Linked DNA regions of Stegostoma tigrinum. The main gene of each other region encodes a partner of the protein of the gene in region 2 in a complex. Links are inferred from orthologs where the notes say so. Each region holds a gene or a part of one and is shown on either strand. Other genes may lie near its edges. The genes, in order: tbp, taf1a, polr1h and rrn3.

Region 1 (7,932 bases), on a different chromosome or scaffold from region 2:
ATGACAAGGTGTGGAGTTGGATGAACACAGCAGGCCAGGCAGCATCAAAGGAGCAGGAAGGCAGGTGTTTCGGGTCTGGACCCTTCTTCAGAAGGGGTCCAGACCCAAAATGTCAGCTTTCCTGCTCCTCTGATGCTGCCTGGCCTGCTGTGTTCATCCAGCTCTACACCTTGTTATCTCTCATTCACTCAATCTCTGCTATATATGCTTCCTTCTTTTTCCTGACCAAAACCTCAATTTCTCTAGTCATACTGTCCCGGGACTCTTGTTATCACATTTTTGAAGGCTTCCTATTTTCCAGCCATCCCTTGACCTGCAAACACCCCAGTCAACTTTTGGGAGTCTTGCCTCATACCTTCTAAATTGGAGGAAGGTCAATTTTGACCTTTAACTTTTAAAGCCGGTCTATCCTATTCCATCACTATTTTAAAACTAAACGGAATAATGTCAGTGGCCTAAAGTGCTCCACCACTGAAATCTTAGTAACTAGTCCTACCTTATTTCCCAAGAGCAGGTCCATCCACATACTGCACCAGAAAATCTTCATGTATACACTTAAGAAATTCCTCTTCATCCAAGCCTTTAACACCACAGCAGTCCCAATCTATGCTTGGAAAGTTAAAATCCCCTACCATAACCACCCCATTATTCTTACAGATAACGGAGATCTCCTTACAAATTTGTTTCTCAATTTCCCGCTGACTATTGGGGTTTATAGTACAATACCAATAAGGTGATCATCTCTTTCTTATTTCTCAGTCCCACCCACTAGCTTCCCTGCATGGACTCCCAGGAATATTCTCCCTAAGTACAGCTGTAAATATTATTCCTAATCAAAAACTCCACTCCCCCTCCTCTCTTGCATCACCCTTCTATCCCTTCCTATATCATCTATACCCTGGAACATTAAGTTAGTAATCGTGTCCAGTCCCAAGCCACGTCTCTGTAATAGCTATATCTCAGTCCCACGTTCGCATGGAGTTCATCTGCCTTACCTATTAGGGCTCTTGCATTGAAATAAATGCTGTTTAATTTATCAGTCCTACCTCATTCTCTACATTGCTCCTGCCTCTTCCCTCCCTCCACTAGTATAAATGCTCCCAAGCAGCTCTAGTAAATCCCACGCCAGTATATTAACCCCTTCCAATCCAGGTGCAATCCACCCTTCTTAATCTGGTCATTTCCACCCTAGAAGACATTTAAATGATCCAAAAATGTCAATCCTTCACCCCGTGCCAGATCCTCAGCCATGGATTCATCTGCTCCATCTTCCTGTACGCTCACTAGCCAGTGGTACCAGCAGTAATCCAGATATTACCCTCAAGGACCTCCTTTTCAAGTTGCTGCCTAATATCTTATATACTCTCCTCAGAATCTCATTCTTTCCCCTTATGTTGTTAGTTCTCACGTGTACAGGAACCTCCTGCTGTCCTCTCTCCCCTTTGAGAACATTCTGCACATTCTCCAAGATATCCTTGATTCCTGCACCAGGGAGGCAACACAGCATTCAGATTTCTCACTGTTGGCCACAAATTTCCATCTGTGCTTCTGACTACACAGTTCCCTATTACTTTGCTTGGAACCTGGTGTACTCCTCCTTACATTAAAGCCAACCTCTGTACCAGAAACCTGGCTGTCCACGCCACATTCCCCTGTGAATCCATCACCCCCTACATTTTCTAAAACAGCATACTTATTTGAGATGGGGATAGCCACAGAAGACTCCAGGACGTCATGCCTCACTTCCTATCTTTCCTGGTGGGTAACCCATGTACCTGACTGTTTCTGTGGTTTTTCTCCCTTCTTACAAGCTGCCATCTATCATATTCCTTAGCTTCCGTTAGTTCCTCATTGCCTCTAACTGCCACTCCAACTAATCCATGCGATCCAACAGGATTCACAACCAGGCACACTTTCTGCAAACAAAGTCATCAGTTACATGGAAACACTCCCTAATCTCCCACATCTGACAGGAAGACCATGTCTTCCAAAGGCCATCTTTGCATCTTGACTATCCACAGACCCAGAAAATAGCACACATTCTTAACTGCCCTTAAAAAAACTGCTCAAGGCTAACTTAGTACCTATGTTTTATATTATTACAGTTTAATCTAGAGACCAATCTCAATAAAACATATAATAAAAAACTCCACTCTACTCACTATCATAGCTTTACAAAATAAACAATAATGGTTACAAGATGTTGGGTGCCAAGGTGACATCAAGTAGAATGGGCCAGTGGGTACCATAGAAGCTAAGGTGAGGCAGTTGGTATCAGAAAGGTGGGTTGGTGGTGAGAGGCAGTGGATGTCAATGAGGAGTGGGGATGTCAAGAGTGAGGGATTGGTGAGATTAGATTCCCTACAGCATCGAAACAGGCCCTTCAGCCCAACAAGTCCACACCACCCCTTGAAGCATCCCACCCAGATCCCTCCCTGTATAACTCACACACCCCGAACACTACGGGCAATTTTAGCATGGCCGATCCACCTAGCCTGCATATCTTTGGACTGTGGGAGGAAACCGGAGTGCCCGGAGGAAACCCACGCAGACACGGAGAACGTGCAAACCCCACACAGACAGTCGCCCAAGGCTGGAATTGAACCCAGGTCCCTGGCGCTGTGAGGCTGCAGTGTTAACCAGTGAGCCACCGTGCCACCCTCTGTTAGAGGGAGGGTCCCAAAGGAGCAGGTGGCTGAGATAGCGGATGCCAAATAGAATGTCATTGAGGAGAGCATCAACAGGGAAGCTGCAATGGGTACAAGAAAATGAAATAAAGAGGAGGGAAACAGAGTCTAAAATGGATGATATCACCGAGGTTGGTGAAAAAGGAGATGGAAAATTGGGTGGCCTGGAGATGGTGGGGGGTGGGAACGGGGTTGTGGGAAAGTGGTGAGAGAGATGGTGGGAAAGAATAGGACAGAGGTCGAGAGGGAGCGATAAATACAAACATGCACCATTTGTTTACACACAGCTCTCTTGAGAACACCATCAACCCCGGCGGGACCAGTCGATTCCTCCAGTCTCCAACAACCCCCACGTTCAACCAGACTCTTTCGTAATCCATCTGAACACCGGGGGACTGCACGCAACAGCCGGTACAGGCCCAAGCTATAGCACAGGCAACGACAACAGCTGTCCTCAGATTCCCCAGCCTGGAAACTGTAAGAGCTGTTTTGAGGAGACATTGTCCCTCTCCATCGGCCACTGACTCACCAAGAAACTCAATGTCCCCTGCTGCTCGCGCTCGATCACCCGGCAACCCCGTCACTTCCAGCTGGTGCTTGGAACCGTGGGCCAGCCATTCCCAGCCGCCACTGCGTGGGAGCGCGCACAATCACGTGACCTATTCTCGCTCGCGAGGAGGCGGGAAGAGGCTGCTTTTGGTTACCGGGGTGGGGGGAGGATGTTTCACCAAGCCTAACCGTTATTGAATGGACCTGGGATGAGACCGTTTGGAAGAGGATTTCTTTCCTTTAAACTCGCAGCATCTGAGGGGCTTCGATGAATGCGAAAGCTTTTTTTTCATCGAATCTCCTTCCGGGGTTTCAGTAAGGTCTCCTAGTTTTACAGTACAGATTTATTCTCTGTGGGGGAGTAACATCTAGGCATTTACAGCAAAGTTTTTTTGTTTCATTTCAGCACTTTTTTTGTTAATAATATGTTTGACCGACGAGGCAAGAGAGTTATTCGATCCGTATTCGTGAATCTGTTTGTCGTTGAGTTAATGTGGCAAGTGGTGAACGCCTAGGATGGACGCTCTCGGTAATCGCCGGGGGAGTGCGGAGTTTGGACACGGGTACATAATTTCATAGAGATAGTAAGAACTGCCGATGCTGGGGTCTGAGATAACACATTTGTGAAGAAGGGTCCCCACCCGAAACGTCAGCTTTCATGTTCCTCTGATGCTGCCTGCCCTGCTGTATTCCTCCAGCCCCACACTGTGTTATCTATATAATTTTATATATCTTTATTCATTCACGGGTTGAGGGCGTCGCTGGCTAGGCAGCATTTATTGCCCAGAGTCAGTGACGTTGCTGTGGCCAGACCAGGTAATGATGGCAGTTTCCTTCCCTAAAGGGCATCCTTCAGGAATTGGTGCAGTAAGTAGCAAAGAGGAAAGCCGAGGCTGTTGAAGGATATCAGTGACAAATAGAATTCAATCTGGCTAAATGTGAGATGATTTATCTGGAAGGACTAACAAAGTAAGGGAAGTACAGCTTGGAATGTCCACTGATTGTTGAAACAGCAGAGCCAGTGGATAAGGTGTTTAAAGAGGTATATGGGATACTTGCTTTTATTTGTCAAGGCATTGAATATTTAAGAACAGAAGTTATGATGGAACAGTATATGAAGCTAGGCCGCAGGAGTATAGTGTGCATTACTGGCTGCCACACTATGGGGAGGACGTGATTGCACCAGAGAGAGTGCAAAGGAGATGCACCAGAACGTTGCCCAGCCTACAACATTTCAGCTACGAAGAGAAATCGGTTTAGGGTTGTTTCCCTTAGAGCTGAGAAGGCTGAAGAGAGATCTGATTGTAGTGTCCAAAATTATAAGGTACATTAATAGGTGGAGGGTATCTAACTTGCTGCTAGAAAGGGTGGTAGAAGCAGGAACCCTGACAACATTTAAGAAATGTTGGGATGAACACTTAAAACATGAATGACCAACTGCTGGGAAATGGGCCTTCAGTAGATAGGTGGATGATGACAGGCGTGTAGGCCAAATGGTCTCTTTCTGACTGTAAAACTTTGACTGTAATTGGCACTTTGCCTGACAAAGGAGCAGCAATCTGAAAGCTTGTGATTTTGTAAAAACCTGTTGGACTATAACAGCCTCACAGCGCCAGGGACCCGGGTTCAATTCCAGTCTCAGGTAACTGTCTGTGTGGAGTTTGCACATTCTCCCCATGTCTGCGTGGGTTTCCTCCGGGTGCTCCGGTTTCCTCCCACAATCCAAAAGATGTGCAAGGTAGGTGGATTGGCCATGCTAAATTGCCTGTAGTGTTCAGGGGTGTGCGGGTTATAGGGGGATGGGTCTGGGTGGGATGCTTCAAGGGGCGGTGTGGACCTGTTGGGCCGAAGGGCCTGTTTCCATACTGTAGGGAATCTAATCTAATCTATAACCCCGTGTCATGTGACTTCTGACTTTCTCTTTTAAGCTAAAGCAGCCCTGAGTTCCTGTTGGCCTGTGGCAAGTTTAGCCCATTTGAAGTGGCAGTTGCTAGAACACAATATCTGCAGGCAAGGTTTGTGAATAAGTATTCATATAGTCACAGGTTTATAAGAATCAGCTTGTACTTATATGTTACCTCTTCTCATTGTTGGGATATCCCTTTCCATCTACAGGTGAATAGTAGTTCTTCTGTATTGCAGTGAAGCATCAGCATGATTTGTATGTTAAAATTCGAGTGGGATTGGGACCCATAACTTCTGATTCAGAAATGATTGCAAACTACCGAGTCAAGCTTAAACTACACAACTACTCTACTATTTGAATCCATTGTTTTGCAATTAGTATTGGAAGTATGTTCGCAATGCACCCAATCTATGTTGATTTGTGCTGCTTATCATGCAATCATTCCTAGGATGTAGGTGTTGCTGGCTAGTCCAGCATTTGTTTTGTATCCCTAATTGCCCAGATGGCAGTTAAGAGTCAGTCTCATGGTCTGAAATCACATGTAGGCTGGGTCAGATAATGATAGTTTTCCTTCCCAAAAGGGCATGAGTGAATCAGATGGATTTTTACAGCAATCAGCGGCAGCTTCATTTCTTGCTGTCAAGCTAGCTTTTTATTGAATTCAAATTTCATTCATCTGCCATAATGGGATTTGAACACATGTCCTCAAAATATTAGTGACCATTTATATATCATGACTCGCGAAATTGCCACTATGCCATCACCTCCTAACAGAGGTTAGCTAATGGAAAACTAATGATATTTCCTTTGGGAGGACATAAGTTTTGCCTTGAATGGCAGAGCATGCTGAGTGGCCTAATTTGTACATAGTATCAAGAAACAACTGAGCATACTGGATGTGGAGTCTGTTCATGGCTGCAGTACTAATTTCTGCTGCAAAACTAATTTTAGCTAAGCTCTGGTATAGCTGTGATGCAGCCATCCGCTCAACAATTTGAAACATTGCTTGAGCAAAGTATGTCCTGTTCACAAAAAAAGGTGAAAATCAATCCAGCCAGTTACTGCCCAATCAGCAAGCTTTCTATCATCAGCAAAGTGAATGAAAGAAGGATTAAAAATCATATTAACAGGTAGCATCTATTTAGTCAAAACTAGCTCACAGATTCTCTGCTTGGCTTCTGCCAGGATTATGGATTTCCAGGCCTCATTGCAGTCTTGGTCCAAATACGAACAAAGGAGCTGAATTACAGAGGTGAGGTGGTGTCCCTGACATCAAAGAAGTATTAGATTGTGTGGCATAAAGGAGTCTTTGTAAAACTGTAATCAATGGCCTGATGTTCACCAGTTGGAGATGCTAGTCTGACAATTCAAGAACAGCGATGGTGCAAGTAGGTAGGACAACCCAATCCCCTATACTACAACCTTCTGTGGTCCTGTACAGGCTATTACATCTTAAGTGTGCAAAGCAGAGTTGAAGAATCCTGCGCCCCGTCTGCTAACTTTAATCTACTCATTGCAGTCACATGCTTTCCAAAAATACCTGGAAAGTTTTTAACATATTTGACCATGGACATGCTCAATTTCCTTATTTCCACACGAGTATTGATCAGGTCATGAACTACCAGAATATCCAAGCTATGAAACGAGAGATTGAGGGCAGGTAGGGAGAGCTTGATAGAGATTGTCGGACTCGTGTGAAGTAGACACCTGGATGAAAGAAGAGATAGCAACATTTCTCAGCAAGATGGTCACAGAAAAGTTCGTGATCAACATTTGACATCACCATTCCTGTGTCAGTTAGGCACAGCACTTCTATCTTGCCAAATTTCTCACTGTAGAGCATGTCTGTGGTATTTCTACATAAGATTCCTGAAGGAACCTTGCCCCCATTTGCTCGCCTGGCTCTTGATGGAAGGCCCAACCAGTTTTTAACATCTTTTGAGAATCATAGGCTGTTGCTCTGGATGGGTTCCCTGTCTTAACAGCAGTGGTGCCTCTTTTTGTTTAGACTCATTTGAAATGCCCAGTCCTGTCACATTTTCACAACCCCTTTGGAGCATCCAACACCCTGGGGCAGGATCAGCCACAATGCATACAGTGGAAGCAGGATAAGAGCTGAATCTATACTTGCTGTGCAGAAATCTGTTCCCCTGCCTCTTCAGCCTGTGATTTACATCTGCTTGAGCTAAGTCACCTCCTTGATAGTAGTCACTTGCTTGGAAGACTAATGTCCCACGATCTGGTTGAAGTGTTCTGCATTTCAAAGAAAGGTAATTGAGTTTTGTCACTATTAAGCCTCCTGACCTTCATCTGGATGTTTCTATCCCTCAATACTTTTGCTTGGCAGTTCTTCAGCTGCCTGTCAATTTAACTGAGATCCAGAAGAATAATATAATTGAACAACTTTACCAGCTCCAGAAATATGGGAATCAGGTCTTCCTCTTCAGCTTGTATATCCTTGTAAAACCTTCGCTGTAGCTGTGAGGGACTATTGCTGTCACGAAAAACTCTTGTCAGTACCTCAAAAGTCAATTGTGGACTTCTTCAAACACCCAGTTGGCCTAATGATCAAGAAGCAGACATAGAGATGTCTTGGGTGGTGGGGTCGGATTGTAGACGGCGAAAGTGTCGGGGGATGATGCGTTGTATCCGGAGGTTGGGGAGGTGTGTGAGAACGAGGGGGATCCTCTTGGGGCGGTTGTGGCAGGGGCAGGGTGTGAGGGATGTGTTGCGGGAAATGCGGGAGACGCGGTCAAGGGCGTTCTCGACCACTGCGGGGGGGAATGTTGC
Region 2 (7,978 bases):
GTGGGGCCTGGTCGGCCAGGACCTGCTGGAGGTGTACGATAGCGCACTTCGGGCAGGGGAAATGTGCAAGTCCGGGAGGAAGGGCATCATCACCCTCATTTACAAGAGGAAGGTGGAGAGGAAAGAAATTAAGAATTGGCGTCCCATTTCACTATTGAACGTGGACTACAAAATCCTGGCCAAGGTCATAGCCAACCGGGTCAGGTCTGTCCTGGAGTCGGTGATTCACCCTGACCAAACCTGTGCTGTGCCGGGCAGGAAGATCGCTGAGAGCCTCGCGCTCATCAGGGATACAATCGCCTACGTCCAGGACAGGCGGGTGGACACCTGCCTCGTCAGCCTGGACCAGGAGAAGGCCTTCGACAGGGTCTCTCATGCTTACATGAGGGACGTCCTCTCCAATTTGGGGTTCGGGGAGGGCATCCGCAATTGGATCCGGCTGCTCTACACCAACATTGTTAGCGCAGTCTCGATCAACGGGTGGAAATCGGACAGTTTTCCCGTCAGATCTGGAGTCAGGCAGGGCTGACCGCTCTCTCCTGCCTTGTTCCTGTGCTGTATGGAGCCCTTCGCCGCATCCATCAGGAAGGACGTGAGCCTGAAGGGCGTGACTATCCCAGGCAGCGGAGGCCTTCAGGTCAAGACCTCCCTGTACATGGACGACGTCGCCGTCTTCTGCACCGATCGTCGGTCAGTGAGTAGGCTATTGGACATCTGCGGCCAGTTTGAACTGGCCTCGAGTGTCAAAGTCAATCGGCGTAAGAGCGAGGGCATGTTCTTCGGGAACTGGGGCGACCGCTCCTTCATCCCCTTCACCGTCAGGACAGACTACCTGAAGGTGCTGGGTGTTTGGTTTGGCGGAGCTGGGGCGTGCACTAAGACTTGGGAGGAGCGTATCACGAAGCTGGGCAGGTGGGCGCTCCGGTCCCTCTCCATCACTGGTAAGAACCTGGTTGTCAGGTGCGAGGGGCTTTCGGTACTGTTGTATGTGGCGCAGGCCTGGCCTATTCCCTGGACCTGCGCCGCTGCGGTCACCCGGGCCATCTTCCACTTCATTTGGGGGTCGAGGATGGACCGGGTCCGTAGGGACACCATGTACAAAGACCTGGAAAACGGGGGAAAGGACGTACCAAACGCCACCCTCGCCCTGATGGCTACCTTTGTCTGCGGCTGCATCAAGCTGTGCGCAGATCCTTAGTACGCAAACACCAAGTGTCACTACTTACTGAGGTTCTACCTGTCCCCGGTGTTGCGAAGGATGGGCCTGGCCTCGTTGCCGCGGAACGCTCCCAGTAGTTGGACCGTTCCGTACCACCTGTCCTTCGTGGAGAAATTTTTGAAAGGAAACACCTTTGACCACAAGGCCGTCAGGCAGTGGTCAGCACGTAGTATCCTCGAGACTCTTCGGGAAAAGGAGAGGATGGATCCCGTCGTGTGGTTCCCCACGCAGACTGCCAAAGTCATTTGGCAGAATGCCTCATCGCCAGAACTTTCAAACAAGCACAAGGACATTGCTTGGCTGGTGGTGAGAGGGGCTCTGCCAGTGAGATCCTTTATGCATGCCTGGAATCTCTGCGCCACTGCACGCTGCCCTCAAGATGGCTGCGGGGCGGACGAGACTGTTGATCACCTCCTTCTGGAGTGTGCCTATGCGCAGGAGGTCTGGAGGGGGATGCAGTGGTATTTGCCGAGGTTCGTCCCGAGCAGCTCCGTGACACGGGACTCCGTGCTCTACGGGCTGTTTCCCGGGACGCACACCGAGACCAACATCATCTGCACCTGGAGGACCATCAATACGGTGAAAGACGCTCTTTGGTCTGCCCTCAACTTGGTCTGCCAGCTGAAAGAACTGGCCCCGACCGAATGTTGCAGACTGGCGCACTCCAAGGTCCAAGACTACGTGCTGAAGGACGCACTAAAGCTTGAGGCAGCCGCCGCCGCCAATGCGCGGTGGGGAAAGACCACGGTGTGAAACCCCTCGTCCTGAATAGAAAAAGGAACCCTATCTGGTAACTGGGCCCAGCTGGCGCTTTCCCCAACTGGTCAGGGGGCCAACTGGGACTGTGCGGGGTGACGACTGCCGGGGTATTTTCTTTGCTTTGTTTTTTGTTTCTTCTTTGTTTGTTTTTTTCCTTTAGTTGGTGTACGTACCCCCTGGGTAACCCGGAGCGGCTTGCATGACTGGGTAGGTGTATAAGTGTTTTATTTTTTGTACATCTTATGAATAAAGTATATTTTTTCAAATAAAAAAAAGTGACGAAACGTCTGAAAATTAACCTTCCAGCTCAGTGAGCAAACTCACATCCAGAACCTCAACCTGAGCTATAAATCTTCTCAAAACTCGCTTTTACTTAAGTCCCCAGTTTATCTGTCTTGCAGACTCAGATTAACAGAAAACACACAGTCGGTTTCTCCACTTAACAAGAAATACTATATAATCACAAATGGATTGATTCCAGCAACAGATAAACAAATATGAACCACAGGCTAGCACTACTAGCTAAACTTTTAACCCCCTTCAAAAAGCACCAAAACAAATATGAAACAAAAAAGTATCATCAGTGGAATGAAGAAAACTTGTGGCAATCAGTTCAAAGCATCAGTCCCTAGGATTTGATGCATTGTTAACTTTGTTTCCAAAAGCCTTTAGTTCTCTGAATTTTTCCTTCAGGTTCTTCTACTTTGCAAGAGACACAGAGCGGCTTGTTCATAATTAAAAAATCTCTGACTTATTGCTGTAATGCAACAGCTTACAGCAACTGACAGGATAACGCAATCAACTTTATTTGGCTTCAAGTACTTTCACAGGAAAGAGAGAGAGAGGCCTTCTAGCCTACAGGCAACCAGTGCTCCACAAGACTCATTTTATCAGAGATGGCTGGCAATGATGCAATTAGGGGAGGTGAGATAAATATATGAAGTAGTACAGGGATGAATAAATTAGAAGTGAAGAAAGACTATAAGGTGATGGGAGTATAAACAAATGCAATTTCCTGTTTTTTTTGCATCTAATGACCTTTTAGTGATGGTATTAATACGCAAAAAAATTAAACCCCTTCTACAACTAACTACTTTCTAGACAACTTGAAATACTGAACTCTACGGCTGAATACCACCATCATTTCTTCGCTATTTCGGTTTTAGTTTTTTTTAAAACGAAAGCATAAAAATCACGAAGTTTTCAAAAGCTAAACAAATACTAAGTTTTTTTTCAAGAACTTCCAATGAAGGTCTCCACGCACCTTCTGATCACTTTTCCCCTCCTCTGATTAAGCAGTTATAACACCAAAAGATTTTCCTCAGTAGTGACCAAACGTTCAGCACAATCTCCTCCACATCATTTACCCCGTTGCCTGGGCACGCTCAGGATTCTGTTCCCCATCCGGGCAACGTTCCATTCCCAGGGTAACGTTCCAATCATAGGAAAAGGACAGTTTTACTTCCCACGTGCTGACAATCTAAAACTCCTTCCGGGGTCATGTTGAACATCTGCTGCATTTTCTCTGAAGGCAGCCATCCGCATTCGGGAGTATCGATTTTGTCCATTGAGTAACAGGGGGTAGTGACTTGGAAGTATTTATTCGTGATCTGGGATAAAGCTCAGTAAAAATATTTTCAGAATAACAACCGGTACATAGTCACCGCTTTAATGTATTTAACATTTACAGTTATCGTGATGTGTTCAAATTCCATTCAAACAAACATTTTACCATCAAACAAACATGACGATTATGCATAGTGGGTTTTTTTTTGGAATTTACTGCTTATCTAGTTGAACTTGTAGAAATAAACCAATGTTTATTTTCAAGAATAAAAGGCGATTCAAGATCAAACCAATAAGACTTGGCAGGTAAAGACGTGTTAAACCACTTGCACAGACAACGTGAAACAAAATACTGAACTCTACGACTGAATATAATCCAAAGCGTGCAACAACTCAGTCGGACTGGCAACATTTTAGAAGACGAAAGGTGCTTAACCTGATGAGTATTTCTGTGAGTTTTTACAGCACTTTGCAGATTTCCAGCATCCGCAATGTTCTGCTTTTAAGTGCGGTATGTCACGTAAGGCAAGAAATTCCGCAGTCTTCAGACTTACCACGTACCTCCATATCATTATCACCAGAACACATCTTTGTCTGCTTGCCTGTTCTGGCAGCTTCTCTTTCGTTGAGAACCTCAGTTATTGCAACTTTTTCACTGAAAATCTTCCTGTCTTCGTGCCTGCCTTAGCCCTCACACCATGTTTTCCACTGAAATGTGCTCACTGCTTTGTTGCCAGCGAGTGTTGTCAGTTATAGCCGCAAAGATTGGGATAAATTCAGAATCCAGCAAAGGAGGACTAAAAATATAATAAAGACAGTGAAAGTAAACCATGAGAGCAAACTAGCTAGCAATATTTTCAGTATGTGTGTTTCCAAACAAACTCTTGTTCAACCAAAGAAACAGGATTCAATTTTCCCTCTGCTGAAATTTTGGCAAAGATTAAGTTTGCTCAGGGAAAGAATGATGTCTACACTGTCAACTTGAATGACACAAAATATTCTACCAACTTCCATTGAAGACTGAGCTCCCCAAAATATTTAAAGCATGACTCCTTCTTGCAAGCCACAGTTCCACTTTCATCCTCTATGTCATTTCCAAAGTCCTTGAATTGCTTGTGAGCTCGTGTTTCTGAGACCATTTTTTGTGACTTGATGATCAATAATCTCTAGTAGCTCCTTAAGCAGGATTTTCCCCCAGCTGCAGCACTGAAATGGACGTTATCAAAGTGACATAGAACATAGAACAGGACAGCACATTACAGGCTGTTCAGCCCACGATGTTGTGCCGACCTGTTGTCCTACTAAGACCAATCTACCTTATATACCCTACATTCTACTATCTTCCATGTGCCTATCTAAGAGTCGCTTAAAAGCCTCTAAAGTATCTGACTCCACTACCACTGCTGGCAGCACATTCCACATGCCCACCACGCTGTGGGGAGAATCTACGTCTGGCATCTCCCCATACCTTCCTTCAATCACCTTAAAATTATGCCCCCTCGTAATAGTCATTTCTGCCCTGGGGAATGGTCTCTGACTATCCACTCTATCTATCCTCATCATCTTGTACACCTCTACCAAGTCACCTCATCTTTCTTCATTCCAATAAAAAAAGCCCTAGCTCCCTCAACGTGTGGCATTACCATCTTCATCATTCTCCACCTATCTGCAACTTCTAACATGTTTGGCCCTACCATCCCCCTCTAACATCTCAGCTTTGTTATGTGTCTGAGTAAGACTGCCCTTACCTGAATCCACTTGTATCTATCCAGTAACAACCAGATAATTTCCTGCATCTACAACAGCTTCTTTGGAGAATTCTTCCCATTTCTCGTTTCCACACTTCCCCTCTCCCCCACCCAACCATGCAGTAAAGTAAAACATAGTGCCCACAGCAGGTAGACAATGTGATTTCAGACACCAGTGTCAGGTAGTCAGCACTGAAGGCAACTGGGCTTGTAAATCGGAGCCCAGACCACCATTTTTAAGTGTGCAATTGACACGAATATGAGCATTTTAAGGACCCAAATGTTGGGAACTTTCACTGCCCACTGCATTACTTGGACAGCAAAAGGTTTGGGCATGTTTTAAAGCAGTTTTGAAGGTCAAAGGAAAATCAGCCAATGAGATCATGGCTGTGTGGAACAGCAGATTCTGCTGGTGAAGTTGGCAATGTTGACATGTTTTTTGACACCAATTCATCGACTTCTTTTAAGCCTTCCATAACAAATAAAGAAAGATTGATAGAACAGCAATCTTTAAGTTTGTAGTCATCTCTAACTTACTTTCCACTTTCTCGTAATTTTTCAGCCACATGGTGACCCCGCTCGACACTCGATTGGATGCAGAGCACCTCCTTTGGCATTTTAATCAAGCCATTGAATTTGGAGTACAGAAAAGAATGCACCCAATTTAGAGTGGGTAAGCACAACTAATGTATGAAAAGCTTGGTTTGGCGCGAAGTTATAATATACCAGCACAATGCAGTAGTGATCTCATAAGTTAAATGGACACAGATGTGCTGACTGGCCCCTAATAAGACGCCAGCAATGGGAAAAGACAAAAGCACAATTGAGCTGGAGGTATTCACTGATGACAGCATCAACAACTCTGTGGTTGAGAGTAAAAGTGCGAGTTAGTTGGTGTATTGACTTGTTACCCATCAACCTGAACTTCATAAGTCTGAACAGTAAAGGTACAGATTTGAATTATTTTGAGAATTGCAAAAAGTAAGAAATAACTAAAATGTAAAATGTTTATCTCCTTCTGTTATATCATTTCATTTAAAGAGTGTCGGGTGATAGATACAGAATAGATGTCAGTTCCTGGTTAATCACAATCATACACAGTTTCCACATGACAGTTTATCATTATTAATAACAACTTTTTCTGTGTTTAAATTAAGTTGTTTCGTTGATAACTTGAAAGCACTTGCAAATGCTCACCTGTAACGTCACTGTAAAAAAATTCATAACACTCAAAAGAAACAACATGTATAATTCCCTAAAATAGAGATAAGCCATTATATTGTGGGACACGATTCAAGTAGGCTGTAATGAAATGTGCGTCAATATTGGAGTATGTCACAGCAATCTGTGACATTTGCAAAATTCAACACGTACTCATAGGTGGGATTTGTTTTCAACTATCAGATGCTTGCACTGTTCCAAATGACTTCCCTGGTACGCAAAGAGAAAATATTTGCTCAAAGCAGAAGTTCTCATCAGTGCCATTTAGGCATGAGGTCACTATTGCATTGTGCTGTTATGTTAGAGCTTCTGGCTAAAAAAATCTTCTCATGCATCAATTATTCCTGTTAATTCTAAATTGGGTACATTTTTTTTTCTGAATTGCAAAGTCCATGGCTTGTTTAAGATCCAGAAACTGAATTTATTTAGAGGGAAAAGAAAGCGTAGTTGAAACAGCTTGCTTTAGTTTCAGGAAAACAGTAATGTCCCTTTAATGGAAGGATCTTTGAAAGCGGTAAAATTAAACTTTCTGGCAAAGTACATGAGGTTATATAAAATGAAGCTATATTACAGTTAAATCCTATTCAATACATCTTGGCCTTGTCAAGAAATGCGGAATCACAGTTTGATTACGAGAGTGACAAGGGCAGCAACTGATGACATGTTGATGCCTTCAGTGCACAGCACACAAATTTACAACAAAAAAAAACAGAAATTGGTGGAGAAACAGTAGGGAGTTCTGGTTTCTGTGCTCGGTAACCCTGGCAGAACTCTCAGGTAGTCTGGGTCATCCACCAGGTATTTGGTTCTAACATAGGACTTGTTTGTGAAGGTGGAGTGATAAACCAGGAGGCAGGTGTTTCAGGGCAAAGAATCTCTGTAGTTATTAAAATATAAAGGTGTGTATCTCACGAAATAAAAAAGGCAAAAGTAATAAACAAGAAAATAAAACAAAGGTGAATAAATTACAACAGATTTTTAAAAACTATGAAACTGACACTATCAGTTATTAACTTTTAACAAGGACCAATTATTATTATAAACGAAACAGTATTTTAAGCACAGATACTGCAATCAGACTTCCTGGCCTTGAGATGCCCTGAACTGTCACCAACCCACATTTCCCTCCCTGCTAGGCAATAGTTAGAACTGCAGATGCTGGAGTCAGAGATAACACAGCGTGGAGCTGGATGAACACAGCAGGCCAGGCAGCATCAGGGGAGCAGGAAAGTTGAGGTTTCGGGTCGGGACCCTTCTTCAGAAATGGTGGAGGTGGGGGTGAAGGGAGCTCAGAAATAAATGGGCACAGAAGGGGTAGGGCTGGGGAAAATAGGTGGGATGGTGATAGGTGAATGGAGGCAGGGAGTGTTCCACATTCCGCATTAGCCCCACCACACCCAGCACCTTTCCCTGCAACCGCAGGGTGTACTACACCTGCCCCTACATTTCATCCCTCACCTTCATT
Region 3 (8,440 bases), on a different chromosome or scaffold from region 2:
CCGCACTGTCGGAGGGTCAGTACTGAGGGAGTGCCGCACTGTCGGAGGGTCAGTACTGAGGGAGTGCCGCACTGTCAGAGGGTCAGTACTGAGGGAGTGTCGCACTGTCAGAGGGTCAGTGCTGAGGGAGTGTCGCACTGGCAGAGGGCCAGAGCTCAGGGAGTGCCGCACTGTCGGAGGGTCAGTACTGAGGGAGTGCCGCTCTGTCAGAGGGTCAGTACTGAGGGAGTGTCGCACTGTCAGAGGGGCAGTACTGAGGGAGTGCCGCACTGTCGGAGGGTCAGTACTGAGGGAGTGTCGCACTGTCAGAGGGTCAGTACTGAGGGAGTGTCGCACTGTCAGAGGGCCAAAGCTGAGGGAGTGCCGCACTGTCGGAGGGTCAGTACTGAGGGAGTGCCGCACTGTCGGAGGGTCAGTACTGAGGGAGTGCCGCACTGTCGGAGGGTCAGTACTGAGGGAGTGCCGCACTGTCGGAGGGTCAGTACTGAGGGAGTGCCGCACTGTCGGAGGGTCAGTACTGAGGGAGTGCCGCACTGTCGGAGGGTCAGTACTGAGGGAGTGCCGCACTGTCGGAGGGTCAGTACTGAGGGAGTGCCGCACTGTCGGAGGGTCAGTACTGAGGGAGTGCCGCACTGTCGGAGGGTCAGTACTGAGGGAGTGCCGCACTTCGGAGGGTCAGTACTGAGGGAGTGCCGCACTGTCGGAGGGTCAGTACTGAGGGAGTGCCGCACTGTCAGAGGGTCAGTATAGAGGGAGTGCTGCACTGTCAGAGGGTCAGTACTGAAGGTGGACCGCGCTGCCAGAGGGTCAGTACTGAGGGAGTGCTGCACTGTCAGAGGGTCAGTACTGAGGGAGCGCCGCACTGTCAGAGGGTCAGTACTGAGGGAGTGTCGCACTGTCGGAGGGTCAGTACTGAGGGAGTGCCACACTGTCAGAGGGTCAGTACTGAGGGAGTGCTGCACTGTCAGAGGGTCTGTACTGAGGGAGTGCCGCACTGGCGGAGGGTCAGTACTGAGGGAGTGTCGCACTGTCAGAGGGTCAGTGCTGAGGGAGTGCTGCACTGTCAGAGGGTCAGTATTGAGGGAGTGCCGCACTGTCAGAGGGTCAGTACTGAGGGAGTGCCGCACTGTCAGAGGGTCAGTACTGAGGGAGTGCCGCACTGTCAGAGGATCAGTACTGAGGGAGTGCCGCACTGTCAGAGGGTCAGTATTGAGGGAGTGCCGCACTGTCAGAGGGTCAGTACTGAGGGAGTGCTGCACTGTCCGAGGGTCAGTACTGAGGGAGTGCTGCACTGTCAGAGGGACAGTACTGAGGGAGCGCCGCACTGTCCGAGGGTCAGTACTGAGGGAGTGCTGCACTGTCAGAGGGACAGTACTGAGGGAGTGTCGCACTGTCAGAGGGTCAGTGCTGAGGGAGTGCTGCACTGTCAGAGGGTCAGTATTGAGGGAGTGCCGCACTGTCAGAGGGTCAGTACTGAGGGAGTGCCGCACTGTCAGAGGGTCAGTACTGAGGGAGTGCCGCACTGTCAGAGGATCAGTACTGAGGGAGTGCCGCACTGTCAGAGGGTCAGTATTGAGGGAGTGCCGCACTGTCAGAGGGTCAGTACTGAGGGAGTGCTGCACTGTCCGAGGGTCAGTACTGAGGGAGTGCTGCACTGTCAGAAGGACAGTACTGAGGGAGTGCCGCACTGTCAGAGGGTCAGTACTGAGGGAGTGCCGCACTGTCAGAGGATCAGTACTGAGGGAGTGCCGCACTGTCAGAGGGTCAGTACTGAGGGAGTGCTGCACTGTCAGAGGGTCAGTACTGAGGGAGTGCTGCACTGTCAGAGGGTCAGTACTGAGGGAGTGCCGCACTGTCAGAGGGACAGTACTGAGGGAGTGCCGCACTGTCAGAGGGTCAGTACTGAGGGAGTGCCGCACTGTCAGAGGGTCAGTACTGAGGGAGTGTCACACTGTCAGAGGGTCAGTACTGAGGGAGTGCCGCACTGTCAGAGGGTCAGTACTGAGGGAGTGCCGCACTGTCAGAGGGTCAGTACTGAGGGAGTGCCGCACTGTCAGAGGGTCAGTACTGAGGGAGTGCCGCACTGTCAGAGGGTCAGTACTGAGGGAGTGCTGCACTGTCAGAGGGTCAGTACTGAGGGAGTGCCGCACTGTCAGAGGGTCAGTACTGAGGGAGTGCCGCACTGTCAGAGGGTCAGTACTGAGGGAGTGCCGCACTGTCAGAGGGTCAGTACTGAGGGAGTGCCGCACTGTCAGAGGGTCAGTACTGAGGGAGTGCCGCACTGTCAGAGGGTCAGTACTGAGGGAGTGCCGCACTGTCAGAGGGTCAGTACTGAGGGAGTGCCGCACTGTCAGAGGGTCAGTACTGAGGGAGTGCTGCACTGTCAGAGGGTCAGTACTGAGGGAGTGCCGCACTGTCAGAGGGTCAGTACTGAGGGAGTGCCACACTGTCAGAGGGTCAGTACTGAGGGAGTGCCGCACTGTCAGAGGGTCAGTACTGAGGGAGTGCTGCACTGTCAGAGGGTCAGTACTGAGGGAGTGCCGCACTGTCAGAGGGTCAGTACTGAGGGAGTGCCGCACTGTCAGAGGGTCAGTACTGAGGGAGTGCCGCACTGTCAGAGGGTCAGTACTGAGGGAGTGCCGCACTGTCAGAGGGTCAGTACTGAGGGAGTGCCGCACTGTCAGAGGGTCAGTACTGAGGGAGTGCTGCACTGTCAGAGGGTCAGTACTGAGGGAGTGCCGCACTGTCAGAGGGTCAGTACTGAGGGAGTGCTGCACTGTCCGAGGGTCAGTATTTAAATGGGATGTTAATCTTTTTGGGTGGATACAGAGGAGGTTTTTATGAAGATCACGGGGAGGGGAGTGGGGAGCACCCCGCACCCCCCGGATTTCCTGACCGACAATAATCTCCCTTCACAAAGACAAACAGTTTGCACAGAGATAGAAAGGACAGCAGCAGCAGGAGGCCATTCAGCCCATCGAGCGTGCTGCGCCATTCTTCCCGATGAGGACTGATTATCCGACACAACGGCATCAATCCTGGTTTCTCGCCCTAACTTTTACTGTTGGTTAGATCCCACTTATCCCCATTCGTCTGCGATCCTTCCAGAATCCAGAAAGTGCTTCCAAATGCTCTTAATTGCGAAAGGCGCTACACAAATGCAACCTTTTTTTCCTGTCTCCGACGACATCCATCCCATTTAAGACAAAATCGCACCGTTCGTCTCCGACCGCTACTGCCTGGCCCTGAAACTGTAAACGTGCCTCGACGTCCAGAATCACCTGCGGCCTAGCGCTCAGGCTCCCGGCTTGGAAACAGGAAACATCGCCCTCCGGCCGCATACGCGTAGGGGGGGGAGGCTACCGCCACCAGCAGCGCCTCCCGGCGGTGGGGAGGTACCGCCAACCCGGTCACGGCGACGATGAGGGGATGGCGCCTCCAGGGGCACCGCCTCCCGGTGGTGGGGATGTACCGCCAACCCGGTCACGGCGACGATGAGGGGATTGGACCTCCTGGGGCACCGCCTCCCTGCGGAGCCGGGGAACAGCCAGGCCGTTTATGGCGGCGGCGGGGGTTGGATCCTCCACGTTCAGCGCCTCCCGGCGGTGAGGAGGAAACCGCCAGCCCGGTTATGGCGGAGGTGGGTGTTTGAACCTCCAGGGGCAGCGCCTCCCCGTGTTGAGGAGGAAACCTCCAGCCCGGTTATGGCGGCGGCGTGAGTTGGAACCTCCCGGGACAGTGCCTCCCGGCGGTGGAGAGGAACCCTCCAGCCCGGTTGCTTGCTCGGGTCGGACCAGCCATCCTCCCACAACACAAACAGAAGGGAGGAACCTCCGCCGACAGCGCCGCCTGACGAAGTGGAGGGACATCTTCGCTCGATGGCGACGGCGCCGCCCCGTGGAGGGGAGGAACCTCTTCATCATGCACTGACTTGGTGTTTCGGGGGAGGGGGGCGGGGTTCAGGCAGCTCAGTTGGATCGCACTTGGCTCAGAATAACTGACCCTCACCATGGGTTCGATTCCCGCTTCAGCAGCATCCTTCAGCTGTACCTCCCGCCTTGCTTCTCCTGTATTCGATACAGAGAGGAGAAGGTTTCCCACTCACATTAGTGGGATATCGTGACAGGATCCTGCCAGAGGGACCCAGTGATAGGGTCCATCGGTGAGACACTGAATATAGACTGTCACAGGGACCCAGTGATAGGGTCCATCGGTGAGATACTGAATATCGACTGTCACAGGGACCCAGTGATAGGGTCCATCGGTGAGACACTGAATATAGACTGTCGCAGGGACCCAGTGATAGGGCCCATCGGTGAGACACTGAATATCGACTGTCACAGGGACCCAGTGATAGGGTCCATCGGTGAGATACTGAATATCGACTGTCACAGGGACCCAGTGATAGGGTCCATCGGTGAGATACTGAATATAGACTGTCGCAGGGACCCAGTGATAGGGTCCATCGGTGAGACACTGAATATAGACTGTCGCAGGGACCCAGTGATAGGGTCCATCGGTGAGACACTGAATATAGACTGTCACAGGGACCCAGTGATAGGGTCCATCGGTGAGATACTGAATATCGACTGTCACAGGGACCCAGTGATAGGGTCCATCGGTGAGATACTGAATATCGACTGTCACAGGGACCCAGTGATAGGGTCCATCGGTGAGATACTGAATATAGACTGTCGCAGGGACCCAGTGATAGGGTCCATCGGTGAGACACTGAATATAGACTGTCGCAGGGACCCAGTGATAGGGTCCATCGGTGAGACACTGAATATAGACTGTCACAGGGACCCAGTGATAGGGTCCATCGGTGAGACACTGAATATAGACTGTCGCAGGGACCCAGTGATAGGGTCCATCGGTGAGATACTGAATATAGACTGTCGCAGGGACCCAGTGATAGGGTCCATCGGTGAGATACTGAATATAGACTGTCGCAGGGACCCAGTGATAGGGTCCATCGGTGAGACACTGAATATAGACTGTCACAGGGACCCAGTGATAGGGTCCATCGGTGAGACACTGAATATCGACTGTCACAGGGACCCAGTGATAGGGTCCATCGGTGAGATACTGAATATAGACTGTCGCAGGGACCCAGTGATAGGGTCCATCGGTGAGACACTGAATATAGACTGTCACAGGGACCCAGTGATAGGGTCCATCGGTGAGACACTGAATATCGACTGTCACAGGGACCCAGTGATAGGGTCCATCGGTGAGACACTGAATATAGACTGTCGCAGGGACCCAGTGATAGGGTCTATCGGTGAGATACTGAATATAGACTGTCGCAGGGACCCAGTGATAGGGTCCATCGGTGAGACACTGAATATAGACTGTCACAGGGACCCAGTGATAGGGTCCATCGGTGAGATACTGAATATAGACTGTCGCAGGGACCCAGTGATAGGGTCCATCGGTGAGACACTGAATATAGACTGTCGCAGGGACCCAGTGATAGGGTCCATCGGTGAGACACTGAATATAGACTGTCGCAGGGACCCAGTGATAAGGTCCATCGGTGAGATACTGAATATAGACTGTCGCAGGGACCCAGTGATAGGGTCCATCGGTGAGATACTGAATATAGACTGTCGCAGGGACCCAGTGATAGGGTCCATCAGTGAGATTCCCCGAGTACAGTCGGCTGTGAGGGCCCTGTGACGAGGTCTACCTGTGAGACTCTGAATATAGATGGCTGTGACAAAGATCCCCAGTCCTGTCACAAAGATACTCTGACAAGAGGATGCCGTGGAAATTAAGGGACTGGAGCACTTGGCACCGCTATTTTACAGATTACAAATGCTGACAAACAAAAAAGCAAGAGCTCTGACAGAAAGACAAACTGTATTTCTTCTTGTATAAAAAAGTGCCAAAACTTTACTTGAAACAAGCGGCAGGTCCGGACTGCCGCAGACAGCTTGTGCTGTACAGACCTCATGCGTGCAATTCTGACAATGAGCCACTGCTCCTGAGTGTCCAGGCTCCTGCTACAGACAACACAAGTGGCTTCAGCGTCGAAATCATGAGTGTTGTCCTTCTTGGTTATTGATCCCGGTGCCTCAGATCCACCGTGGTCACGGCACTGCAATGGCAAAGGCAATCATGAACTGAGAGGCACCGCTCTCACCCAAACCTATCTCGCTGCTGGCCAAAACGCAGAGTAACATTCCTCCCGGGAACGGAACGGGGAGGGGGTGGGTAGTGGTTCCAATTCAATCTGAATTTGGCATCGAGGTGCCTGCACGATGCGAGGGGATTCAAGGCCTTCCCTCAGGCAGCACTTGCTCCATTTAATCCGACACAATCGCAGTGAATGCTGGTGATGGGCTGTCACCCTGCTGTGGAGAGTGGGTGCACAGCCAGCATGGCTCATGCCCCTGGCATGGCAGGTCTGATACGCACCCAGGACCCTCAGCCGAGCTCCTCCCGGGTCTTGCCCACTTTCTTGGGCATCTTCTTGCTGGCCGCATCCTGCAGCTCCTTCGATTTGTAATAATGCGGGGCCACCTCCAACAGCCAGTTGCTGTCGATCTCAATCACCTGAGAGACAGACAGACAGAGAGATTGAGGGGTGCTGCATGGAGTCTTAAGGTCACCACGGCTCAGCTGATGGATGGGACACTCTGGAAGCCATCATGTGGATGGCTAAAGACAGAGGAGTAGAGCTGACAGTCCGAACAGAAAAAGCAGCACAGATCAGAATATAGGAAACACGGTTTGCAGATTACTCCAGAAGTGGTGGTTTTGGACTGTGAAAGTTATCCAAGATTACAGAGAGATCTTGATCAATTGGGCCAGTGGGCTGGGAAATGGCAGAAGGAGTTTAATTTGAACGAATGCGAGATATTGCATTTTAGTAAAATAAACAAGGGCAAGATTTAACCAGTTAATGGTAGGGCCTTGGATAGTGTTGTCGAGCAGAGACACCTTGGAGTTCAGGGGCATAATTTTCTGAAAGTTGCGTCACATGTGGACAGGGTGATTGATAAGGCATTCACAGCTTGCTTGCCTTCACTGTGCAGACCACTGAGTATAGGATTTGGGATAACATATTGATGTTGTACAGGATGTTGGTGAGGTCAGTTTTGGAACAACGTGTCCAGTTCTGGTCGCCCTGTTATAAGGAAGGATATTATTAAGCTGGAGAGGGTTCAGGAAATGTTTATAAGGATGTTACCGGAACTGGAAGGTTTAAGTTGTAAGGAGAGGGTGGATGGGCTGGGACTTCTATCATGAACATAGGAGGTTGAGGGGTGAGCTCAGAGAGGTTTACAAAATCATGAGTGACATAGATAAGGTGAAGAGCAAAGGTCTTTTCCCTAGGGTGGGATATTTTTCAATACTAGGGGGCATATTTTTAAGGTGAGAGGAGAAAATTTTAAAAGGGACATGTGGGATAATCTTTTCACACAGAGGGTGGTTCCAGGAAGTGGTAGAAGCAGGTACAGTTACAGCATTTAAAAGATGCTGGACAGATACATGATTAGTTAAAGGTTTAAGAGCAATATGGGCCAAACGCAGGCAACAGGTACTGGTTTAGTTTGGGGAAACTTATCGGTAAGAACTGGTTGGACTGAAGGGTCTGTTTTGGTGCTGTCTGACTGAGTGTTGGTGCAGTGCCAGGCTCTATCATTAGGTGGCGCATTGTCCACAGTTGACAAGCACTCGGTATTGGTGAGAGAGTCAGGAAAGTCACAGGCTCATGCCCCACTCTATGGACTCGGTCATACAATCCTGGTTGACAATCTCTTCCAAGAGTAATGGTTGCCGCTGTAGGTCCCCCCTTTTACTGGGAGTTGCCTCCAGGGAATGTGTCTCACTGAAGTGTACGAGCGTGATTCTCCCACATGGGGAAACCCAAAACAAGGGGACGCAGTCTCGATACATGGGGCCAATCGTCTTTTTTTTAAGGACAGAGGCGACAAGAAGTGACTTCATTCAAAGGACTGTGAATATTTGGAATTCGCTATCCCACAGGGCAATGGACACTTCATCACTGAATCCATTTGAGGCTGGAATCATGGGAATTTTTGATCGATCAGGGAGTTAAAGGATATGGGAGGCATCGACGCTCCCACTGAACGATAATGCAGGTCAAAGGTGGCCCACAGTCACTCCTATTTCTTTAGAGCTCTGGTATAAAAAGTTCCACGTGGCCACAAACCTGAAGAAGGGGAGTTTTCCTGCATCATAGAATTCCTACAGTGTGGATGCAGGCCACTCGGCCCACCAAGTCCACATTGACCCTCTGAACAGCATCACACTCGGACCCAAATCACCTGTATTTCCCATGGTTAATCCAACTAGCCTGCACATCCCTGAACACTATGGGCAATTTAGCATAGCTCAGCCCACCCTATCGTGCACATCTCTGGACTGTGGGAGGAAACCCACGTAGAAACGGGGACAACATGCAAAC
Region 4 (7,463 bases), on a different chromosome or scaffold from region 2:
GGCGTGGAGGGGAGGGGGAGACGGGGGGCGTGGAGGGGAGGGGGAGACGGGGGGCGTGGAGGGAGGGGGAGACGGGGGGGGCGGAGGGGAGGGGGAGAGGGAGACGGGGGGCGGAGGGGAGGGGGAGACGGGGGAGGGCGACGAAAGGGAGGGGGAGGGGGAGGGTGAGACGGGGGAGGGGGAGAGGGAGACGGGGGGGTGGAGGGGAGGGGGAGACGGCGGGGAGGGCGACGGAAGGGAGGGGGAGGTTGAGACGTGGGGGGTGGAGGGGAGGGGGAGACGGGGGGGAGGGCGACGGGAGGGGGAGAGGGAGACGGGGGTGGGGTGGAGGGGAGGGGGAGAGGGAGACGGGGGGCGGGGGGCGGGGGGGGAGGGGGAGGGGGGTGGAGGGGAGGGGGGCGGGGGGGTGGAGGGGAGGGGGGAGAGGGAGACGGGGGCGGGGGGGGTGGAGGGGCGGGGGAGAGGGAGACGGGGGGCGGGGGGGGTGGAGGGGCGGGGGAGAGGGAGACGGGGGGCGGGGGGGGTGGAGGGGCGGGGGAGAGGGAGACGGGGGGCGGGGGGGGTGGAGAGGGAGACGGGGGGCGGAGGGGGGTGGAGAGGGAGACGGGGGGCGGGGGGGGTGGAGGGGAGGGGGAGAGGGAGACGGGGGGCGGGGGGGGGTGGAGGGGAGGGGGAGAGGGAGACGGGGGGCGGGGGGGGGTGGAGGGGAGGGAGAGAGGGAGACGGGGGGTGGAGGGGTGGAGGGGAGGGGGAGAGGGAGACGGGGGCGGGGGGGGGTGGAGGGGAGGGGGAGAGGGAGACGGGGGGCGGGGGGGGGTGGAGGGGAGGGGGAGAGGGAGACGGGGGGCGGGGGGGGGTGGAGGGGAGGGGGAGAGGGAGACGGGGGGCGGGGGGGGTGGAGGGGAGAGGGGGGGGTGGAGGGGAGGGGGAGAGGGGGGCGGGGGGCGTGGAGGGGAGGGGGGCGGGGGGGGGGTGGAGGGGAGGGGGAGGCGGGACGGGGGGCGGGGGGGGTGGAGGGGAGGGGGAGAGGGGGGCGGGGGAGGTGGAGGGGAGAGGGAGACGGGGGCGTGGAGGGGAGGGGGAGACGGGGGGCGTGGAGGGGAGGGGGAGACGGGGGGGGGTGGAGGGGAGGGGGAGAGGGAGACGGGGGGCGGAGGGGGAGACGGGGGGGAGGGCGACGAAAGGGAGGGGGAGGGTGAGACGGGGGAGGGGGAGAGGGAGACGGGGGGGTGGAGGGGAGGGGGAGACGGCGGGGAGGGCGACGGAAGGGAGGGGGAGGTTGAGACGTGGGGGGTGGAGGGGAGGGGGAGACGGGGGGGAGGGCGACGGGAGGGGGAGAGGGAGACGGGGGTTGGAGGGAGGGGGAGACGGGGGGGGAGGGCGACGGAAGGGAGGGGGAGGGTGAGACGGGGGGGTGGAGGGGAGAGGGAGGGGAGACGGAGGGCAGGGCGACGGAAGGGAGGGGGAGGGGGAGAGGGAGATGGGGGCGGTGGAGGGGAGGGGGAGACGTGGGGGGGGGGAGGGTGAGACGTGGAGGGGGAGGGGGGGGAGGGTGAGACGTGGAGGGGGGGAGGGTGAGACGTGGAGGGGAGGGGGAGACGTGACGGGGGGGGAGGGGTGACGGAGGGGAGGGGGAGGGGTCACGGAGGGGAGGGGGAGACGTGACGGGGGGGGAGGGGAGGGGGAGACGTGACGGGGGGGAGGGGTGACGGAGGGGAGGGGGAGGGGAGACGTGACGGGGGGTGAGGGGTGACGGAGGGGAGGGGAGGGGTGACGGAGGGGAGGGGGAGGGGTGACGGGGGGGAGGGGGAGACGTGACGGAGGGGGAGACGTGACGGGGGGGGAGAGGGGGACGTGACGGGGGGGAGAGGGGACGTGACGGGGGGGGGAGAGGGGGACGTGACGGGGGGGGGAGAGGGGGACGTGACGGTGGGGGAGAGGGGGACGTGACGGTGGGGGAGAGGGGGACGTGACGGTGGGGGAAAGGGGACGTGACGGGGGGGAGAGGGGGACGTGACGGGGGTGGAGGGGTGACGGGGGGGAGAGGGGGGGGTGACGGGGGTGGAGGGGTGACGGGGGGGAGAGGGGGACGTGACGGGGGTGGAGGGGTGACGGGGGGGAGAGGGGGACGTGACGGGGGTGGAGGGGTGACGGAGGGGAGGGGGAGACGTGACAGGGGGACGTGACGGGGGGAGGGGGAGACGTGACGGGGGGAGAGGGGGACGTGACGGGGGGGGAGGGGTGACGGAGGGGGTCGTGACAGGGGGGAGGGGTGATGGAGGCGAGTGGGAGCCTGATGGCGGGGGGTCGGGGTTCTAAAGGGAAGACGGATATCGGGGTGGTGGAGGTAATGAGATGGTGGCCGCGGGTAGGAGATGTAGCGGGGGGGGGGTGGAAAGGGAAGAGGGATGCCGGGGTGGGGGGGGAGGAGATGTTGGTGGAGGAGGGGGTGGTTGGGGGGGGAGGAGCTTGTGGGATTGAGCGGTAGACAGGGGAGGGAACAGGGATGGAGATGGAGGGTAGGGGAAAGGGAAGGGAGGGGCGGAGACAGAGGGTTGAGGAGGAGGGCTGATGGAGGGAAGGAGATGGACTGCGAAGTGACGTCACAATGGGTAGTGGACGGGAGTGGAGGAGGACATGGGGTATACAAGTAGAGATGAGGGGATGGGGAGATAGTGAGATTGTGGGGGTTGGTGGGGAGAAGGTGGTCCTAGTCTCAGAAGGTGGCAAAGAAGTCCCACGCAGCCTAACAGTCGAAGATAAATTTTGGGGAAGGATGCTATGTCAAATTCACCAAAAAGGTTGAGAAGAATGAGTGTGGAAGGGCACCTTTGTCAGTCAAGGGATGAAATTTGTGATTTTGGTTGGAGCTGTTTCAGACTTGTTCCAGAGTTTGAATACCTGACAAGAAAGTTGCCAGTATGAAAGTAATCAAAAATAGTAACAAGTGTGGTGAGGTCAGATCCCGTTCTGAAATGTGACTTAATCATAATTCGCTTTTTATTTAATAAGGTGGTTTATCATTGAAACATAAGCAGGCAAAGCTGATCAAATTTTAAAAATTAAACAAGTTTACTATGCAAAATAAAAGATAAAATTTTACATCCAACTTTAAAGATTTCAAAACAGAAAAGAACACTATTTCATCTCAAACACCAGAGAGAATTCCTGTCTCAATCACATCTATGGGTTTGACTTAATTATTGCTTTCAATTCCTGGTCTTGATCATCTGATAGCTTCTTCCTTGAGTAATCACGCAGAGCTTAGATTTCCTTAGTTTCAGGGTCTGCCAAATACCTCCGATCCTATTTTTCTAACTGAAACGCTTACGCTAAGGTAACTTATTTCCTAACTTTTCCGAACTAATTCCTTTCTCCCAGAGAAACCGTTTCATACATCTGCCTTCATTCAGGATTTCTGCGAACAGAAACCAAAAGCTTCCAAGTGTTGGTGTTTTTGCCTAAGCCAATACAAAAAGCTCCTGACTCTTCTAACAGAAAGCATGCTGATGCTCTTCAGTGTGTACTCTACCGCTGGTCACACTTTCCCAATGCAAACAAATTTGCCTGAACACTTCAGGATGTCTGTCTCTTATGCTAGTTTTTTTTGAAAAAAGCATGACTTCAGAAATGCTGACAAGTTAATCACTAAGGCATGTAAACACACAGACCAAAATCCATTAGTTCAAGATCCAAACTCAAATAATAATAACATCTCACACCTTACGTCACAGAGGGTGATTACATGTATGTTGAGAGAGAATGGCACGTGACAGGAAGCTAAGTTTAGAGGGATAGTATTAACGATGTGGGAGCAACAGGCGGGGATTGAATTTGTGAATTGGCAGGTCCTGATAGAAGCAGAAAGAGTGGGATCAAGATAGAAGAGAAGACCTGGAGGTGCTGGACTTTGGAATGGATTTTGTTAAGGGAGACTTGGCAGAAGGATCAAGGGTGGATTCTTTTGAAGACAGTACGATAACTGATTTAAAAGAGATTACAGAGGGATACATTTACAATGTATAAATAATTCTTCCTATGTTCCTGAAGGCTTCCATTTGACAATGTTGGGAGAAAGTGAGTTCTTCAGTTCCCCACCAAGGAAAGCTGTCAGATTTGGTGGAACGGTTACAGAAATCTTAAAGAAATATAAACAGGTAAAATAAGTTAAACAGGTAAATGTGTAAGAAATTTTCTCACCTTTCTGTAAATTTGATTCAAAAGAGTTTTTTCCCCCTAGGGAGATACTGTGGATTATGATTTGCTGATGACACAACTGGATGATCCAGAAATAAAGGTAATCAACAAATTGTTTAACATGCATCTCATTTGTGCAGCGTTTTCCTGTTATACATATGGAACTTTACAGTTTTAACAATTTGCATTTAATCTGTTAGGTTTGTACTCTGTAATAACATAGCATTTTTAATTTTATGAATATGGTGGATCTGTTTCTCTATATGTACCTACTCCAGATTAGCATGTGCAAGGATTATTCCAATTAGTGTTGGATGAAAGGGGTAGTGTGAGTCTAGATGTTAGGCATAATCTTGACTCTGGAATGAAACAGTGTGAAACCTGAGTTTAGCACAAATTTGAAGTGTAAATGTACACTAGATCAGTCTGTCCCAATGCTAACTGAAATAAATTTTGAGCAGAGGTAATGTGAACTGCAGATGCTGGAGAATCCAAGATAACAAAGTGTGAAGCTGGATGAACACAGCAGGCCCAGCAGCATCTCAAGAGCACAAAAGCTGACGTTTCGGGCCCAGACCCGAAACGTCAGCTTTTGTGCTGCTGAGATGCTGCTTGGCCTGCTGTGTTCATCCAGCTTCACACTTCGTTATCTTAAATTTTGAGCTGCTTTCATCTAGCTTAGCTAGGACCCCAGGGCAACAACATTGACTCACTCGCAATTAGCTGATGCACAACACATGTCTTCAAACTTATTTGTGAAAATTTCCCGGAAATGCTGGCATTCTCACACCACCACACTTCAACTGCTGTCTTGGTCCCAAAGGCCGTGAATCCTTGCCTCCAAAAGGCAATATCATCCACCTAAATTAATGTATGTAATACAAATATAACAGCAGACACATTAGGAAAAGCTCCATGATCTTCTGATGCTATTTGCTCACCACCAATCCATGTTTGGGCAAACAATGACTAAATATAAAATGACTGTTTTAAATTCTCTCATAAAGTAATGTTAATGATTAGGAATGGGAATGATGGACTCAGTGAATAGTGCCCCTGCTTCTCAGCTAGAAGCTACAGGTTCAGGCCACTCCAAGACTTGTTGGTCACAGGAATGTTCGTGATATGAAGGAAGTACATCCACAGTGTGGTTGAACAGGTTGTTGATCAGCCTGGTAATCCTTCTAACACTTCTTCACAATTCTGAAAAATGGGGGGGAAAAAGTCAGTGTCTGAAACAAGCAAACAGACTTTTCAAAAATTCTTCAGCCTTTTGGTGAAATTATACACTGAGGTAATTTTCACTGATCGAGTTACGAACTCCTGGCCTAAAACAGTTTTTCATGTTAATTATAATATCGAATCTAAGTGTGTGAACGGAGATTTAATATGATAACCAGCATCAGCATTGTTACTTAAAATCAATGTTTTGGTCATTTGAAGAAAAATCTGGTCAAAATTTAATTTTGATAGGATTGAAACCTTTCATCATTTAACTGATTCTGTTTCCTTGTAAATTTGTTCTATAGTACGAAGTTTTTGTTTGTATTAAGTTACTTATTTTCTTTTTACTGTATTTCTGTTGTTTCCACACTCATGTTTGAGATGCAGCTTTGTGGATTCACGTTCCACTTAATCTAGATTGTTTCTCCATTGCAGTACTGATGGAGAGCTGCACTGTCAGAGGTGTAACTATTTGGATGAAATGTTAAACCAAGGCTAAGGCAACTTTCTAAGGCGGACATAAACAAATCCAGAACCCAGTTTTGAAGAAGAATTGGGGTTATCCTTGGTGCAAAGACAGAAATTGCTGGAGAATTTCAGCAGCATCTGTAGAGAGAAAAGCGGAGTTAACATTTTGAGTTCAATAACTTTTAAACAGTCCTGTTGTATAAATGCAAATCTGCTTGTCTCTCTTTTCTTAATTTTCTTAACAGAAGTTTTTCTGATTTAGTGTTAAACTGTGGCCCTGTCTGCCTGCTCTGATGATTCAGGAAGAAAGATTCCATGGCAATACTTAGAGTCATGAAGGCTTACAGCATGGAAACAGGCCCTTTGGCCCAATTTGTCCGTGCTGCCCAGTTTACACAATTAATCTAATTCCATTTGCCTGTGTTTGGTCCATATCCCTTCAAACCTATCCTATCCGTGTAATGTTCAAATATTTCTTAAATGACATAACTGTACTCGACTCCATCACTACCTCTAGCAGCCTGTTCCATACACTCATCATACTGTGGGTGAAACAAAATTTGCCCTCTGGACCCATTTATATCTCTCCGTGTCACCTTTTGCCCTCTAGTTTTAGATTCCCTACCACATTTTATTGACCTCCATAAGGTCATTCCTCAGTCTGCAACGCTCCAGGGAAATAAAAACCCAATCTGTCCCACCTCTCTTTGTAACTCAAACCAAGTCCAGACACATCCAGGTAAATCCAGAAAATTCCCCTGGGATCCTGCACACATTTTCTCCCTTGACCACTGCCATCAACAAGGAGATTAGTTGATCCAACTTTATTTGTTTATTTTGCAGTGCACATTGGCGGTGCCATTCATCTACTAAGAGTGACTGCATTTCAAAGCAGTTCTTTATTCTTAGCATGTCATAATGTTTTAACTAAATAGAGTTCACTTAAACTTCAAGGTGTAATAATTATATTGAAGTGCTTATTTCTTTTCTCCCCCAGGATGCTCAAATAATCAACTGGCTTCAGGAATTTCGTGATGCTGTCGCACAATTAACAAAGGATTTTGAACACGTTGTTAGCAAAATACTGGTTAGCTTCTTTGAATTTTTATACACATGAAGATTGGTCAGAAAATGTTTGCTATGTTTTATTGTTGAATAACTCTTATCAATGGGTTTGATTTTTCTTAAATCTGCCATTTTTATATTGACACATGGCAAGTTACAGATGTTAATAAGATATTTAAGTAAGTCCTGAAGGTTTAAACACATTTTTAAGTTATATATAAAAACCATCAGATTTTTACAAAAATAATTTCAGAAGCTGCCGTGGTTGTCCCGAAGCCCAGTGGTAATAGAGGAATACTTGGCCTTCTTAAGTAACCTAGTATCAGCGCAGACAGTGTATCTGAGGTCGTGCCTTAGTATGCTGGTCTCCAGTTTTGTACCAGGTATGAAAATATTGCTTCTTTTATCATTTCCAATACATTGTGAAAAGAATAGTTCCATGTCCTTTATTTGTGAAACAGAAGAGCTGTTTCTTTGGCTCAGGTTATTAATCAGGGATATGCCTTTCA

Evidence for each region.
Region 1: taf1a (region 2) and tbp share a complex: the UniProt entries of both Homo sapiens proteins name them as parts of the transcription factor SL1/TIF-IB complex. The link is inferred for Stegostoma tigrinum from reciprocal best matches to the Homo sapiens genes TAF1A and TBP.
Region 3: taf1a (region 2) and polr1h share a complex: the UniProt entries of both Homo sapiens proteins name them as parts of the pol I pre-initiation complex. The link is inferred for Stegostoma tigrinum from reciprocal best matches to the Homo sapiens genes TAF1A and POLR1H.
Region 4: taf1a (region 2) and rrn3 share a complex: the UniProt entries of both Homo sapiens proteins name them as parts of the pol I pre-initiation complex. The link is inferred for Stegostoma tigrinum from reciprocal best matches to the Homo sapiens genes TAF1A and RRN3.

The regions. Positions count from the first base shown.
Region 1 is NC_081357.1:94,276,608-94,284,539, reverse strand, and holds the start of tbp (TATA-box-binding protein), read right to left. Parts: upstream 3,329-7,932; 5' UTR 3,217-3,328; intron 1-3,216. UniProt on the Homo sapiens protein: The TFIID basal transcription factor complex plays a major role in the initiation of RNA polymerase II (Pol II)-dependent transcription.
Region 2 is NC_081362.1:52,737,909-52,745,886, reverse strand, and holds the start of taf1a (TATA box-binding protein-associated factor RNA polymerase I subunit A), read right to left. Parts: upstream 3,435-7,978; 5' UTR 3,243-3,434; intron 1-3,242. UniProt on the Homo sapiens protein: Component of the transcription factor SL1/TIF-IB complex, which is involved in the assembly of the PIC (pre-initiation complex) during RNA polymerase I-dependent transcription.
Region 3 is NC_081387.1:14,298,061-14,306,500, forward strand, and holds the start of polr1h (DNA-directed RNA polymerase I subunit RPA12), read right to left. Parts: upstream 3,277-8,440; 5' UTR 3,195-3,276; coding exon 3,166-3,194; intron 1-3,165. Other genes in the region: pre-mRNA-splicing factor ATP-dependent RNA helicase DHX16, read right to left, coding at 6,433-6,561. UniProt on the Homo sapiens protein: Core component of RNA polymerase I (Pol I), a DNA-dependent RNA polymerase which synthesizes ribosomal RNA precursors using the four ribonucleoside triphosphates as substrates. Can mediate Pol I proofreading of the nascent RNA transcript.
Region 4 is NC_081376.1:51,353,351-51,360,813, forward strand, and holds the start of rrn3 (RNA polymerase I-specific transcription initiation factor RRN3), read left to right. Parts: upstream 1-4,055; 5' UTR 4,056-4,064; coding exon 4,065-4,157; intron 4,158-4,240; coding exon 4,241-4,297; intron 4,298-6,886; coding exon 6,887-6,976; intron 6,977-7,207; coding exon 7,208-7,337; intron 7,338-7,463. UniProt on the Homo sapiens protein: Required for efficient transcription initiation by RNA polymerase I (Pol I). Required for the formation of the competent pre-initiation complex (PIC).